3 linked regions of the Neodiprion lecontei genome follow. The protein of the gene in region 1 purifies or fractionates together with the protein of each later gene. This does not show direct contact. Links are inferred from orthologs where the notes say so. Each region holds a gene or a part of one and is shown on either strand. Other genes may lie near its edges.

What was found. The genes of interacting proteins can lie anywhere in the genome.
Region 2: the proteins of nucleolar protein 58 (region 1) and NHP2-like protein 1 homolog fractionate together in Homo sapiens (co-fractionation; 3 studies listed by BioGRID and IntAct, with this or other methods). This does not show direct contact. The link is inferred for Neodiprion lecontei from reciprocal best matches to the Homo sapiens genes NOP58 and SNU13.
Region 3: the proteins of nucleolar protein 58 (region 1) and nucleolar protein dao-5 fractionate together in Homo sapiens (co-fractionation; 3 studies listed by BioGRID, with this or other methods). This does not show direct contact. The link is inferred for Neodiprion lecontei from reciprocal best matches to the Homo sapiens genes NOP58 and NOLC1.

What each region holds. Positions count from the first base shown.
Region 1 is NC_060261.1:2,781,319-2,786,100, forward strand, and holds nucleolar protein 58, read right to left. Parts: upstream 3,276-4,782; 5' UTR 3,116-3,275; coding exon 3,071-3,115; intron 2,915-3,070; coding exon 2,838-2,914; intron 2,737-2,837; coding exon 1,304-2,736; intron 1,201-1,303; coding exon 1,055-1,200; 3' UTR 549-1,054; downstream 1-548. UniProt on the Homo sapiens protein: Required for the biogenesis of box C/D snoRNAs such as U3, U8 and U14 snoRNAs. Part of the small subunit (SSU) processome, first precursor of the small eukaryotic ribosomal subunit.
Region 2 is NC_060261.1:30,700,199-30,703,940, reverse strand, and holds NHP2-like protein 1 homolog, read left to right. Parts: upstream 1-1,901; 5' UTR 1,902-2,089; coding exon 2,090-2,092; intron 2,093-2,275; coding exon 2,276-2,656; 3' UTR 2,657-3,218; downstream 3,219-3,742.
Region 3 is NC_060260.1:24,040,117-24,047,739, reverse strand, and holds nucleolar protein dao-5, read right to left. Parts: upstream 6,025-7,623; 5' UTR 5,679-6,024; coding exon 5,517-5,678; intron 3,826-5,516; coding exon 2,383-3,825; intron 1,913-2,382; coding exon 1,832-1,912; intron 1,455-1,831; coding exon 1,044-1,454; 3' UTR 1,021-1,043; exon of another isoform or gene 956-1,020; intron 385-955; downstream 1-384. UniProt on the Homo sapiens protein: Nucleolar protein that acts as a regulator of RNA polymerase I by connecting RNA polymerase I with enzymes responsible for ribosomal processing and modification.

The DNA of each region.
Region 1 (4,782 bases):
AAAATCTCATTTAATGTTTGCACTTTCTAATACGTACTATACAGATATATATGCTATATATATATTATATCAAATGCATTGATCTCACTCTCAGATTTCATATTTTAGAAGCTTTTCATTTCAGTGCATTGAAACCAATTCGATGCAATTTGTGTGTGGTACATAATTTACTAAATCCAGATTAAATCAGGATTCAATTTGAATTACAAATACAATAGAGATAGAATTAAAATCAGATGTTAAAAATTAGTTAGGCTCTAAGGCACATATATAAATGAAATAAATAAATAAATAAATAACTAAATAATTGAATAAAATAATATAAAAATCAACAGCATATTTTATACTTTTTAAATATTATATTGTAACCAGATATATAATTATCCATAAACGATAATTAAGGGTACGGAAAATTTTAACAATAAATTTCAGATTATTCGATGCATCATAGTTTTATTTTGTTATACCTCGATCGCTCTGTTTCATCTTGTCAAAACTTTTTCACGGAAAGAATGTTGACTTATAATTAGGTAAAAATACACGTGGGGTAGTTAATAATAGATTTATTAAAAAATAGATACACATTTTCTTTTCTCTGAATTATAATAGTATGCAACACAGCAGTACTGCTTATAAGAACAGGAAAACTTATGTATTCAAAATAATATTCTAGTATGCTCATTTATCAAACGTACTTTATAAATCCTTTAGCACAATTATAATATGGAAACGGATTTCAACAATACAAGAATAATTCTACTTATTATACAACTCTTACTTTTTCACACACTGCACGAAATTAACCTTCATGATCAAATTGTACAAAATTTTTTTGTAGAAATGTACACATGTATCCGATATTTAAATATTTCATACGTGGTTGGAAAAGGGTGGCAAAAAAATAAAAAAAAAAAAAAAATAAAACAACTATTGGCCTAGGAGCAATGTATGTCGCTGCAGAGATATCCAAGTTAGCGATTATACATTTGTAGTGTAGTAGAGTAACAATAGCATTACTGCGTCGACAATTATCTTGTCACATATGGAGGAATAGTTAATCGTCTGGCATCGATTTCTTCTTCTTCTTCTTTTTCTTCTTTTCACTGGATGGACCCTCAACCTGTTCTGCGATTTCTTCCTCAGTTACGTCCGTCTTTACCTTAGATTTTTTCTGTTTCTTCTTCTTTGCTGATTCTGTAACTGTGAATAAATAGTGATGTTATTAATGAACATTTTTCAACGATACGACAATTTTCCAACTCCTACACCTATTTGCATTTAACATAGATAATTCTAATTCTACCTTCAACTTCCTGCTCCGGTTCTTCGACTTCTACAGCAGCAATATCTTCTTCTTCAGTTTCCTGCTTGACTTTTTTCTTCTGTTTCTTTGAGCTACCAGGAGTTCCGGCACCTTCCTGTTCCCCAACGCTATCCCTGACTTTCTTTTTTTTCTGTGGCACTTCGGCTGCGTCTTCTGCAACTGTTTCGATCTCTTCGATCAATGGCTTTTTATCATCGATCTGTGAATGCCTTCTCTTGCTGCTCGGTATAGTCGAGTCTGCAGCAGTAGGGTACTGCTTCACCTCTGAAGACGTGTGATACTTCTCAAACTTTGATTTGGCCTTCCCAGTACCACTGATCCTGCGCAGATTTCCTTCTTCAAGTATTCTCAACCTTGCCTCCAGTTTTGCTCTGTGTTCAGCTCCTAGGTCAAAGTTGCCATCCTCACCTAGAGCGTCTACCCTTGTGGCCAGCGACGCCTTTGCTGCAAGCATCCTCGACATTTTTCCCTTGTTCTTCGTCGACGATTGACCGACCAACTGAGCGTGATAGATCAATCCATACTTGGGGGTGTCTCGTTTGGTTTTTAGAGCCCTAAAAAGTGCCTTTTCTGCACCAAGAATTTGCACCGTGGAGGCGGGATGTTTCGCAAGATTGATGAGCGATCCAGCATGGGAAATTAGCCGAGCACCGACTAGTTCGCCGACAAGAACCGTCAGGTTCGGAGCCATAGCCATCATCCTGGTCTTGAGGTAGTCGTAAAGCTGTGTCCTGTAGCTGGATATCTCTATAACTTGATCACAGAGGTGTTGGATGTTGAGAATATCGTCGTCCGATATTTCAGTCCCCATTGATATCTCTGCCGCTTCTTTAACCTTTTCTTCTACATCCTCGGGCAGCGTATCAGATAAATCTGAGTTCCCCGTGTTTTCCCTGGTGCCGATAATCTTCACTGTCTTTACAAACGCGACGTTATCAGTCACGAGTTTTCCTAGTTCAGGAAAATGCCAGCCGTACCATTCTCGGCATCGCATTACGTAGTTGTTCAATTCCTTGTCTAAATCGTCTAGTAAACAAACCGCTTGGACGATCATTGTGTCGATTTTATCAGGTGAGAATTTCAACTTGTATCTTGAAAGGCTGTGAGCTAGACCAAGCGCCATGGCAGTCATTTCTTTCTTCGGCAGGCCGGTCAACAGCGAATCCATCTGACTTCGTATACACCTCATCAATTCCTGAACGGCAGTGTTACTGATGCAGGAAAGGCTCAGTTTATCCTTTATCGCATTTCCTAACTTTGCATCTGCCACTGCCAGTTGCTCCTGAACCTCGGCGCAATACTTCTTCAGCATCTTTTTCAATGACTTGCTTACTTTTCCTTCGACCGCTGCCGTTGTTGCTGCCAGAGCTTCGGTCGTATCCGCAAACTTTTCGAAATGCTTGAGCTTGACGCTGAGGAAAATATGAAAAATAAATATCGTATTTATAATCAAACTATAAAGAATTACCAAAGATTAATCAATTTTCATGTTTGCTGAGTACGCGATACTTACATTCTGCTAGCAGCTTCTGGGGTCTCAAAGTCATGATAGAGGTTTTCTGTTTCTGATAGTTTCTTTTCGTCGAGTAGCTATAAAAAAAAATTACGAACGTGAGGATGAAAACAATCTCGATGAGTATATAATTTTTATTACAACGTTTTCACTCCGATAGCCACGTGCGTCCCTGTGGCCGAACTTGAGTTTTGGTTATGTTCCGATAAAATGCAACTCCGATAATAGCTTACCTTAAATATGGCGTACCCCGCCGGGGTTTCAAATAAAACCAGCATCTTTGCCTGGTTTACACGCTCTTCTGACGGTTTTCAACTGAAAATATTATTCCCAAAAATTATAACCACGCGACCGCCGGCATAAAACACACCGCGGAATGGAAAGGAGACAGCCCGAGCTGTGGTATGAACACTGTATCCGGTCTTCGTCTTCCAAAATCTCAGAGCATTCACTACTGGAGGGAGCCACCCATCCCAAGTATTGATCTCGCGAAAAATGCAGCCGAAGTGATGAGAGAGAGAGAGAGAAAGAAAGATATACGTATCTTTCTCACTCTGCATTTGATTGGCTGAGAGGAGTCGTATCAGCCAATCAGGAGTAGGGCGAGAGAGACAGATTATAAGCAACATATATAACTCTCTCTATTACTCCTATTACGCTACACTTTCTGCACATGCGAAGCTATCTCCAGTAGTATATGCTTGAAATTTAAAACCCGGATCAACCTCCTGAACTAACTACCTACGATCTAAGTATACCAATTACCGAAGCTTAGTAGCTGCTCGCCAATATATCCACGATCGGTAAAAAGAATGTACAACTCGACATTGACTTAAAAATTTCCACACTAGTTGGATGGAATTCCAGAAGAGAGCGCCACAGTCGCCCGCCGCCGAGTCACGTGACCGTGCGTTCGTCTCGACTGATTACGTTTAAATTGTTGGAGTAATTTCGCCCACGAGACCGAGTGGATAATTATTCGTAACAAATTTTCTTCCCGACTCGTCGGCGGGTCTGTGTGATTGGTGCCGGTATTATTCCTGTTGTAATTCGTCGATTTAGTAGGCCGGTGACCGCGGAGACAAAGTGTTCGTTTCGTCGTGTCATTGTAAGTCGTATCATGCTTCATCGTTCGCGACGCAGTAAGTATTGTTTGAGCCGCAAAGCGTCGTTTTGATTCTCCGGTTCTCTTTTCCCCGTACGGATGAAATTAAGCATCTGAATTGAACAATGAACAACGCGGAATAATCGTGAGACGGGAATGATGACCGAAAATCATGGAACCCTAAAACGACGCTGCACGGTCAAATCGACCTCAGCGTCCTTCTTTCCCGCGACAAAGAGTGCAGTGTCGGTTCAATCGTGATCGGTAATCCTGTGTTGTTTACAAACATAGATTAGATCTCAGATCTCGGGTCAGCGGGCGGTGGTGTTTACAACGTGAAAAATTACCAGTCGCTTAATACCCGGCATACGGATGCCGTCGACGCGTTGTGAGTTAATACGACCAATTTCCGAAGTGCTCGACCTGTCCATATTGCCCGGTATCACCTGACCTTCATTTTTTTCTGCTTGTTCTTCAGGAGACTCGTCGAGATGCCGAAGACGAGGTAAGGAAACTCCTGTAAGGCATGTTACTAATTTGACGGCTGCATTTTTGCGCTGTTCGTTATTTACATATTACGTCAATCAACGCCAGGGACTGTGTACGGTATCTTGCCATTTTTTAAACAAAATTACACTAAAAGTTGTCCTGAAATGTTTTCCAAAAAATCGCTGAAAATTTCAGTGAAAAATATTAAAGCTTCATCGCTGAGTCAAGAATATTCTCCAAGTATAAAACAAGGCCCTTTTTTCAGACAAATATCTGCCGGAGCGGTAATTCGCGAGCAACTAAATATTCGACGCGCACAATTTACCGATAAAAATGCATAGCGGTTGAGCG
Region 2 (3,742 bases), about 28 Mb from region 1:
CTAAAAATGTGATGGAACGCACCTCAATCGTTTTGTTTTAAAAATATGAAATAAAAAAAAATTGAGCTTGTTGAGTCAAATTCATGTTTTGTTGAGTCAAGAGTTCAATGGTTGAAGTAATAAAATTTGTTGTTACAAAAATTGAATTGACTGAACATTAGAATTATTCAAATGCACAAAATGTATTCTTCGAATGATGTTTTTTATAATTTTGTTGACTCTAAATTTTATGGAATTTACTTGATAATTTGACATTACTAGGGCACACTCGAAAGATTATTGCCGAATATGAGGAAGTATACATACATAAACCTTACATGTTCAGTAGTTTTAAATTACGCGTCGTCAATATCAATTTCGATGAGTCGGATAATGGCATAACGTTCCCTTTAATTGTTATAGGCTTGATGTCTAATTTGTCCTAGGTTATCCGTAACCAAATTCTTGGCCGACTACCCGGTTTTGTAACTATCTCTGAAGCTACTTATAATACTACGCTTATAATACTAGTATACTGACGTTAACGATGAATATATTGTCTGCGTGTTTCAAAGCATGTGGTTTTCCTTTTACCTCGTAAACAAATTAGTGCAACTGATTCAACCAGTTACGCCAACTAAGCTCCGGTTGGATCAACAAAGTGTGGCATTTATCGATGTAAATGTTCTGTTTGCTAGATTCATATACTTATTTTACTTGAAGTATCTAACTTTTTCTGTCAGCAAACATACGAGTTGGAGGAACAATACATAAACTTCAAATATATGAACTGGTATTTAGTTGACTCAATTTCGGAAACACGTGAAAAAGTTCACTCGAGTCAATACTTCACTCGATCGCGATAAGAAAGGCTTTTTTTTTAAATTAAGGAATTCACTTGACTGAATCATTTTGACAAACTAACTAAATCGAAATTGTTGAATTGAAGTCATCGTATTTAAACCAAATAAGGAATACTAAATTGAAGTTAATGGACACCAACAATATCTATTTTGTTGATTCAAGAATTTCTTACCCTCAGTGTACATTCAACCGTCAATATTTGTGAGAATGCGAATTTGCATAAGTGAAAAGTTCTAGAGAGACTGAAGAGGGTATTCTTCACGATATAATACGATTGTTGAGTACAGTCTAAAATGCTATCTGGTTTTCTCAACTTTAGTCCGTGTTTATTGATGCATATACACCCACGTCGTTTTTTATCTTGAACCGTAGGGAACCAGACGCATATTGTCCATACATACGTGTACATTTAGAATTCAATAATTTAAGAAGCTCTACGAGTGGTCGGAGTAAAGTTCATTCATAGACTATGGTAAAATAATGTACATACATACGGTGTACCAAGGTCAAAGCTCCTCGAGAATAACGTTCTTGTGCACATTCCATATGGGGTTAGTTCGATCAGAAATCTCTTTTCAGTCCTGTAAAAATTTGTTAGAAATTTTATCATTCAAACGTTGACGCGTCCGTTTGTTTTTTTTTTTAGAAATTCATTAAGAATTGGTACAAATTTTTGTCATGCATCTTGTGAAATTAAATATCGTTTTACATGTTTTTCATACACTCGAAAAATCTCTTAAAGTACTACAATTTTGATAGTACTACAATATTTTTTATATATTTTCCAAGATCTGCAACTAAGACTTTTTTCTTCATTTCACACCATTATGAAAGCACAAACGAAAATCAATCGCGTGTCCATTTACTAACCATTCAAATCAGGGATTCAAACTCGTTTCAACCGGTTAAGAAGGCATTTAAAAGCTTCGATTCAAAAGGTATCATGCCGCAGACGAGTGCACTGCGTAGTTTCAGTTCAGGACGGCGATATGCTGCGGGAGCAGTGACGCGATCCTTTACAGATGAAAGCAACACACTGTAGACTGATACTCTATGCTTATATTTCCCAATACTTCCTGTGCATGCGTAGTTCAGTCAACGACGAATATACGTAATAGAAACGCGGCAACGTTCGGCAAAGTTCCAGGTTCCTCAGTGAAGCGATTTCTACAATTTATCGCCGAGAGGTTATAACCGGGTATTTCGATACCTCATTTCATTCCACAGTAACAGATATATTTAAAAAATGGTAAGTCCCAGTCACGTGTTACCGAATTAACTACATCCAGTACAAATTACACAGTCAACGCGCTATCGACAAGAGGTTATGTCGTTTAGCACGTGGACGCGCAGTGAACCGTACGAAGAGCTGCAAACGAGCGAATAGAATTGACCACAACCGCGTTTGATTTAATAAATGAATATTTTACAGACCGATCAGGTGAACCCGAAAGCATACCCGCTGGCCGATGCTACTCTGACAGCAAAGATCTTGAATTTGGTTCAACAAGCAATGAACTACAAGCAGCTTCGCAAAGGAGCAAACGAAGCTACAAAGACGCTTAATCGAGGTCTATCAGAGTTTATCGTGATGGCTGCAGATGCAGAACCTCTGGAGATTCTACTCCACCTTCCGCTACTCTGCGAAGACAAGAATGTTCCCTATGTCTTTGTTCGTAGCAAGCAAGCACTCGGACGAGCTTGCGGAGTTTCCAGACCCGTGGTTGCTTGCTCGGTAACAGTAAATGAAGGATCTCAGCTTAAGCCACAGATTTTGGCTATCCAACAAGAAATCGAACGGCTATTAGTGTAAAGGCTGTAATAAAAGACCTCCGGGAGTACCTGATTCTAAAAATTAAAACACCGCGGAATAAATTCGCATATTTTTCTACGCAATCCTGTTTTGCTTCTTCGTCCGAGGAAGTCTACCAGACATTATTTCAACGAAAATGAAACTGATTTATATGCATATGCATATGTATATGTATAACATACATATTGTAGCACTACAAATAATTGTATTATTACCAATATTTGAATATTATACCCATTTCTTTCAATACCATCTGCCGCAACCATTTACAAAACATTTTTGTGAATTCGGAAGGTCAGTAAATAAATGAAACTTTGTAACAAAAAACATAATCTTTTAACTACCTTTCGTAATGTCGCTCTACCAGTCATGTGATCAGTAACTTTGCTCATGGCTCGGCCTTTCATGAATATGACTTTTCAAACTTGGAATAATTCATGCATTTCACTACAAAGAAAAAGAAACATCTAGAATTAATGGCAACTGTTGTTCGCAAACGAAAATGACAACACTGAAGGTTGGTTGTAATTTTTAAATAAATACTGTATTGGTTCAAATATAAGATGATTTTGGATTTCAAAACTACGTATCAGAAATCATATTATAATAATACCTAAATAAGGGACATCTGGATATAAGTCAATAGAGTCTTCCAGTCATATGCAGTATCAAAAACCTGGACTCATATTTGAAACAAGACGGTGCTACTGTTCGTGTCTGCTCATCTATACACTATTACTATGTATTCCAATGGATGCTGTTTATTACATAGGGGAAATAAAAATGGATAAAACGTTCTAAATACAACATAAAACGTAACATATATTTGATTCGAAATTAATAATTAATATGGACTGAAGCAAAGTTAAGTAAACGAGATTATACTCTGTGAAATAAAACAACGATTAAAGCAATTACGATTAAGGTCGATAAAAAAAAATTTGCATACCCACAGCTCTTAAATGTTAACGTATTTGTGTAAAATAGGCCTCAATACTCCAAGGCATTGAAAAACTATTTTGTATATATTGTTAGAAAAATCACAGGTATGTAGTACACTAGAATTTTTGTCGAATAACTTCATTT
Region 3 (7,623 bases), on another chromosome or scaffold:
GATAAAATTGTTTTAAAACATAAATCTAGCTTTGACAAGCTAAATGTCAGGTGATAAATACACCGTTGCCGATACGTCGGAAAGTAATGATGATTCTATAACGGTTTTACAATGAGAAATAATTTAATAATAAGTGGTTTGTAATAAAAATAAGACTCTTGTAAGAAATAGCTATGGCGTATATCATGTTGTAATCGTAATATTTCACGTGAAATAATCGATTTGTCAATTGTCGGTAAACTTAATGGAATTGACTGTCATGTCTATTTGACCACCGCGATAACTGCCACGTTTTTTTTTTGTTTTTTCATGACGGAACGATTTCCCCCTGGTGTGTTTCAGGTCCAGATTTGCTCTTTCTCCCCATGAGCCTCGGAAACCTTTCTGTTAAAATAAAACAAGATAATTTCGGTTATTACACGTCACATTTAACACTTCACTTGACGTAACGATTTTACATGGTGAACAGGATTTCATGATAATTTCAAGTTTTTCGGGTTTGTGTTACGAACAGTGAAAAATGTAAAAATTACCTTTAGAAAAACAGAAATGAATGATCTTGTACGTATTCGAATTTCGCAAGATATTGCCGAGTTTAAAGTCACTCGCAGAATTTAGATCAAACGGAATTCTTGAATTCTCATGTCTGGACACCATGTATTTATTATAAATTTTACTAAGATATCATGAAAGTACAAACAAGTCCTACAAGTCCGAAACTAATTGGAAAGACGAAAATTTAGTATCAGAGTTTCCAATTCCGTGCTTGACGCATATGAGCCTGATTTTGTGTCAGATTAACGTCATGCCAAATTCTTTGTTTACGTATAGAATTCTACAAAGTCACCACTGAATTCAGAACCAAACGATGTGCTTTTTTTTGAATATCAAGAATTTATAAAAATTCGACAAATGTAATGATTCTATTTAAAAAAAAAAAAAAAAAAAAACTCACTTGTGAATTACCGTACCAATTACAGGCTTTTTCATACATCCATGAGTCTTATGTTGAGCGATTACCTTATCTTTAAAAACTCCTATAATCAATCGTCAAAAGTGATTTTCTTATTTTGAGCGGGTGCATCTCCAAATGAATTTCTTTTCTCAAAACCACCCCCTCTGCCGCCCCTGAAGCCCCCACCTCTTCCACCGCCTCGGCCACCTTCGTCACCTCCCCAAGATTTTCTAAAATCACCTCCCCCTCGTCCACCACCGCCTCTGCCTCCATCTCCGAAACCTCCTCTGCCACCCCCTCCTCGGCCACCGCCTCTTCCTCCTCGGTCACCCCAGCTACCTCTACCCCCCCTGAAACCTCCGCGATCACCACCTCTCCCACCCCTGAAGCCTCCACGACCACCTCTATCGCCACCCCTTCCTCCGCGGAAACCTAAACCGCCTCTTCCGCCCCTGAAGTTACCGTTATTTGGGGTATGGGCACATTCCTCACCCTCTTCCTAAAACAAGAGAGAAACACAAGGTCAAGCAATCTGAAAGTTGATATCATTTGTCCGAGCACTGCCCTTTCTCGGCCACTGACACGAGACAGGCACCTGGAAAAATTCAGGATAATGCATGGAAACATGAGCGCAAACAATATCAGGTGGCAATAAGGCTTTCGAATTTGGTAGCCAAGTCCAAGATTCAGAACTAAACAATCGTCGGTTACGATAAACAATATGAGTATATACACTTTTCTGGTTACTTGAATTATCAGGACAAAGTCGTATAATTTTTTTTTTCAACAGATCAATCCTCAACTTTCATGAAAGAGTATGGGAGTGACCTTGTGTTTCTCATTTGTTTTCATACTCATTTGTTTCCGAGCATTTACCTTAGCTTCAAATGCATTACTCCCCAATCGTGGATCCACTTCGATCTCGTCATCCTTTACGCGTCTGAATGGTGTATTTTTCTGGTTCACAGAATGAAAGTAAAAGGTAAGTATATCATTGATGGTGGGCTCAAATGGAGCCATGAAAAATTAGTGCAATTTGTGACATTAATGATAGTGAAGTACTCTGTTAAAAGATATGAATACACAAAAACAAAGTAAACAACAAAGGAACTCCACGAATATTGGTGGTTGTAAATATTTTTCTGTACCTACATCTTTAACATTAGTTTTCAATTCGTCTACAAATACTGCTTCAATTAGGGAACATATAAGCGCTAGGGAAAAAGAGGATTACTGCTCAAATAAAAAATTTCATGCTTCAATTTTTGTTTTTAAAAGGTTGCGGGGACTAAATTTTCTATATTTAAATTTATGGATAAAATAAATGATATTGATGTCCAGAACTGTGTAAAACAGTTTCAGTGTACTATTGAGGGCAAATTTGATGATACAAGATAAAAATTGCTAGGTTTGCAACTAATAGTTACCTTGTCCCCATTTACATTGTTCCCAGCCTTTACAAAATTGCTATATTTGTCCTTTTGTTTTTTTGCAACTTGTTTTGCTTCTGTATCATCTTCATCGTCTTCATCGTTATCGTTATTTTGGTGTTTTCTTTTTTTGGACTCAGCTGGAGTAATTTTAGGTTTTGGCGTTTCCTCTTCATCGCTATCCTCAGAACTGGATGTTTCCTCAGCAACAGCTTTGGGGGCAACTTGCTTAGATGCAGGTTTCTCATCCTCTGTAGACTCATCAGAGTCATCACTGGACTCTTTCTTAGCTACTTGTTTGACAACAGCTTTAGCTGGTGTGGATTTTACAACAGCTTTCTGCACTGGTTTCTCAACTTCTGATGAATCATCAGAATCGTCACTGGATGATTCTTGTTTTGCTGCAGGTTTAGTTGGAAGTGCTGCAAACTTTTTTTTTGGTGGTTCCTCATCGCTGCTGCTATCATCACTTGAGGACTCTTTAGCCTGCCTAACGACAAGTTTGGTAGCTTTATTCGCAGGAGTGACTGGTTTAGGTGCAGGTTTCTCGTCTTCAGATGAATCCGAATCTTCGCTACTCGATTTTGCTTTCACAGCTGCCTTAGCTACCACCTTAGCAGCTGGGGACACAGTGGGCTCATCATCGTCGGAAGAGTCGTCTGAAGATTCTTCTTTTTTAGCTGCTGAACTTACAACCTTTATAGGAGTAGCCTTTACTACAGGTGTAACTTTGCTTGGAGTCTTTGCTGCCGGTTTTTCGTCTTCTGATGAATCATCCGAATCATCGCTAGAAGTCTCTGTTTTTGCGACTGGTTTTGCCACAGGTTTAGCGACGGGCTTGGCGCCAGCTTTAGCTGCAGGTTTGGAGCTTGATTTAACAGCTGGTTCGTCATCGCTACTATCATCACTATCGTCCGAGGATTCTTGTTTCGCTGCAGCTACTTTTGCAGGGATTACTTTAGGTCCAGCTTTGGCCATAGGTTTAGACACCACTTGTGTTTTGGAATTTTCTTCAGAATCTGAAGAATCGTCGCTGGAAGAAGCTTTTTTGGCATTTGGCTTAGCTGGGGTCAGTTTTGTTTTTGAAGAAATTGTTTGAGCCGGAGCTTCGTCCGACGAGCTGTCATCTGAACTTGATTCTTTTGCGGCAGGTGTTAATTTAGCTACAGGTTTAGGCGGGGATACTTTGACGGCTGGTTTTTCATCTTCGCTAGAAGACTCTTCTGATGAACTTTCTTGCTTTTTGATTTCTGGCTTTTTTGTTACTGGCGCTTTGCCGTTAACTATTGGCACTTTTTTAGGCACCTCATCTTCGCTCTCCGAACTTGAATCTGAACTGCTGTTTGTCTTTTGTGCTTTAACATTAACTTTTTTCGATGAATTCTTTTGAAAATGCTGTATTACTTGCAGTATTGTTGGAGAGCCTTTTGCAAGCTCAGGCTGAAATTAAAATCGTTCAAAATTTGTTTAGAATAAATTTTCAATTTGATCAAAGTACTGAGAAATCCTAGCCATTTAATTCCAATTCACACTGCATACGACACACATTCTTTTTAATGTGTGGGGGATTCCAGCACATTCGGATCGCAATTCTGCGCATGGGTCACTGATTTTGGCAGCATTTCAGATTTTGATTCTTGGCGAACCCAAAACAACTATTCTAGGGTTATACGGCCTGATGCTGAATGGTCCACGAAATATTGACTTTTCAAAATTTGAAAATAACCATTCATTCGATGCAAGGTGATCTTTGAACATGAATATATTGGCTCCCTGACGTTAAAAGATTATTTTCAAAACTAAAAAGAGTGGTTGCACTCCAGCAGGCGATAAAAGAAATTAAATAATTAAAAAAAACTAAGAAAAAAAAAGCACCCTTCTATAAACTTGAGGATCTCTTAAGTATTTAGTGGAATTTTCAAGTAGAAAATTATGCCCTTCTAGTTTAAAAATCAAAATCAAAACCTCTCGGAATATCTCGCAATTAAAAACTGTCCTTAAATATTTATCAATTTCACAGTTTTAAAGATAAATCCTTTGCACTCGCAAATCAGTTGCGAAAGTATTCTACCAGCATCAGGGAGACAAGATATACATGCTCAAAGATAGATCCGTTGTATCAACTAATTGTGTTTTTTTAAACATTAAACCGTTAACCTCTCGCAAACCATTCGAGGTCCCGTAATTCTGGAACAGTTGTTGTAGGTCAGCCAAAAACTCAAAATCTCCGATGACTCGAATGGATGAACTGAAACCCCCTATATACGAATATTTATATATATTTATAAAAGAAGTTTGATTTCTAAGTATGTACTCGTTTCATCTTAAGTACATGGAATGTGAAGACAAATACTTCATTTAAAAATCTACCACGTACATAATATGTGTATATATTTTTTGTATTCATCGCTATAATATACACAAATCATCAGCGCATAAAACATTTGTACATGGTTATGTTATGTCGCAAATGGAATAAGTATTCAATTTCTATTTGTCACGTAAAACATGGGTTTGCAATATTTTAGGTTACAATGTAACTGTAGAATTAATACAAATATTGAAATATTATTGCAATTATTTTTAAACAACTATATCAAGTGCACGAAGAGTGAAAATTGGCAATTATACAGTGTTAATTTTAGGAATCTCTAAGAAGTACAATATTGAAGGTATATTAGCTGTACTGAAATCAGTACCTATTTAGAGATAAATTAAGTAATAACGATGAATGACACCGTGATTGAAAAAAGATACAGGTGAAAACACTCCCAATGCTAATTGGCAATAAACTGCTTACGTGAGTAAACACGTTTCACATTCAGTCAAGCAGGTTCGAATTTATTTCTCATATGTGACATGGGAGGTTAGAAAATCTTGAGTCTCGTATTCAAGCTTCGTGAAAGAAGATCGAAAAGACATGTGTTACGGAGTACATTTTAATGAGAGAAATAACGAGACTCGTGTGGATGAAATATTGTGCTTGGTTTAATTGCTTTATAAGAAGCCGTTTCGATTTCGAAATTATCCACGTGGTGCGGCTATCGAGGCTGCCAATTATCGGCCGCGGTATATCGTATAGAATATAGTCACGCAAGGGTAAAATACATCAATTCTTTTCTGAAGCTTACCGCTTTTGTTTTTTTCTGAAAGACTTTCGCCAGGGATGTGTCCTTCTTCAATAAATAATCATAAACGAGCGCGGAGATCGTAGGATCGTCTATGGAGGCCATGATGGACGCGTGCGAAGAGACGGCGTACTTCGGAGCGCATTGAAATCGGCCGCTAGCCATAAGACAGATACGCTATACAAGATCACCATATCACCTACCATTTACCACGCTACGTTTCGGTGCTACCTCGAACGTCACACTTGCGGCGTGCTCGAGAACTTACTTTATCGACTGAAGTTGTCGCCATATAGAGTGTCTCAGCTGCAAGTGATCAAACTGATAGGGGTTACAGAGGAAGTCGAACTCATATAGCCGAACTGAGTAAATTAACCGAAAGAACATGTATCCGAAGTCATTCGCAAGATACGACAGGTTAAAAAATACCCGCTAAGCGCCGGCATGTAGACAACTGAGTACACAGTAGGCAGCCGTTAGTGGTCATGTTGATCGTTCGAAACGCACGTTTAATTTGCGTCTCGAAAATCAGTTATTGAAAAAAAACCGTTGATCATATGATTGTATAAATAATATTATTTATGTCATTCTAAATATTTCTAAATATGTCCTGTGAGAAAAAGACTTTTTCCCGCGTCTCTTTAGCTCTTTAATTGAAAAACCATGAATTGACGTTGTTACAAACGTTTTGCACGCGATAGTTGTTGGTTATGAAGTACTTTGTTACCGACGTGTTTAGTTACTCGGTTAATATTACGTGAAACTACTGATACCCCCAATCCCTTCCAGAGCCGCTGAATCGTTACGAAAAATAGCTCAGGGTTGAGTCTTTATACATCACATAGGTATCACGGAATATTAACGCGGGAAAAAAGAAGATAGTCTTGTATCTATGTAAAATACAATCATCTTATATTAAACTTGATGCAAACAGGACATATATTATTTATTTAAATTACTCTCATCAGATTTGCGTATGCATAACTTTGCATTTTTTTTTTAGCCTGAATTAATCTTTTGATTGAGATGACCTGCTGAAGGAATCCATCATTATGAAAGCGCATCTTTTCAAGTTCAGAGTTAGTTAAATGTTGCGTAACAATATACAAAATGCATAATTCATCACTACCATATCTATATTGATTCGCTTAACCATATTTCACACTGATAAACTTTCTGGTCTCTGCAAGGTAGTTCACATTGCCAAATGTATATTAAATTTTCAGTTCCGCACTGCAATCAGTTAGCTTTGTCGAGAAGATCTTGACAAGTATGACACCATCTCCTACATGATTTTTTTGAGCATCAAGTTTCATGACAGGCTCTGGAAGAAATGAATCTTGATTGCCTTTGACCTCTAGCTCTGTGGTTCTTTTTTTCGGCTTTATAATAGAATTATTTAATGGTAAAGTTGTGAATGTCAAGTAGGGAAGGTTGGGGCAAGACGGCCCCCCAAAGCCGGTTATTACTCGTGGCTTTCAACCATCAAGTCAGTTAACTTTTGACCTATTTCGAACAAATCCATGGACATTTTGATGAAACTCGGAAAAAAAACTTTAATTGAAGAAATTAATTAATTAAAAAAAAATTATTATTTTCAAATGCTGCTAGTGGCTCATTTTACCCTACAAGTAGTCTACTTAGTAGACAATCAGCCTAAAAATGAATAAGTACATATTCTTCATAATTTGACTTTAAAAATGTAAATAAATCTATTTTTTAGAATTTTTGGCTGGTCCATTTTGCCCGAGGTATCTCGCGTAGGGTTACAAATGAGCTAATATATCAAAATCCCGATAATTTGAAAAAAAAAAAAAATTTTTTTTGACCAAATTTTTGGAGGGGGCCTTCTTGTCCTAGAGGGGCCGTCTTGCCCCACCCTCCCCTACTGAAATTATAAATTACCTTGGATTAGTGGTTTATGAAAAAGCAAGCGTAGCCTCACTGTTTTCCAATTTTAGGAAGTGAGTTTCATAAAAATACAAGCAAGCCATTGATTCGTTGAAAACCTTAGGAAATATCCATGTTATTACTCGTCACTTTTTGAAAAATTATGTTCAATAATGATAGATTGAAAGAACTATTCATACCATAATGGCTGCCTTCATGA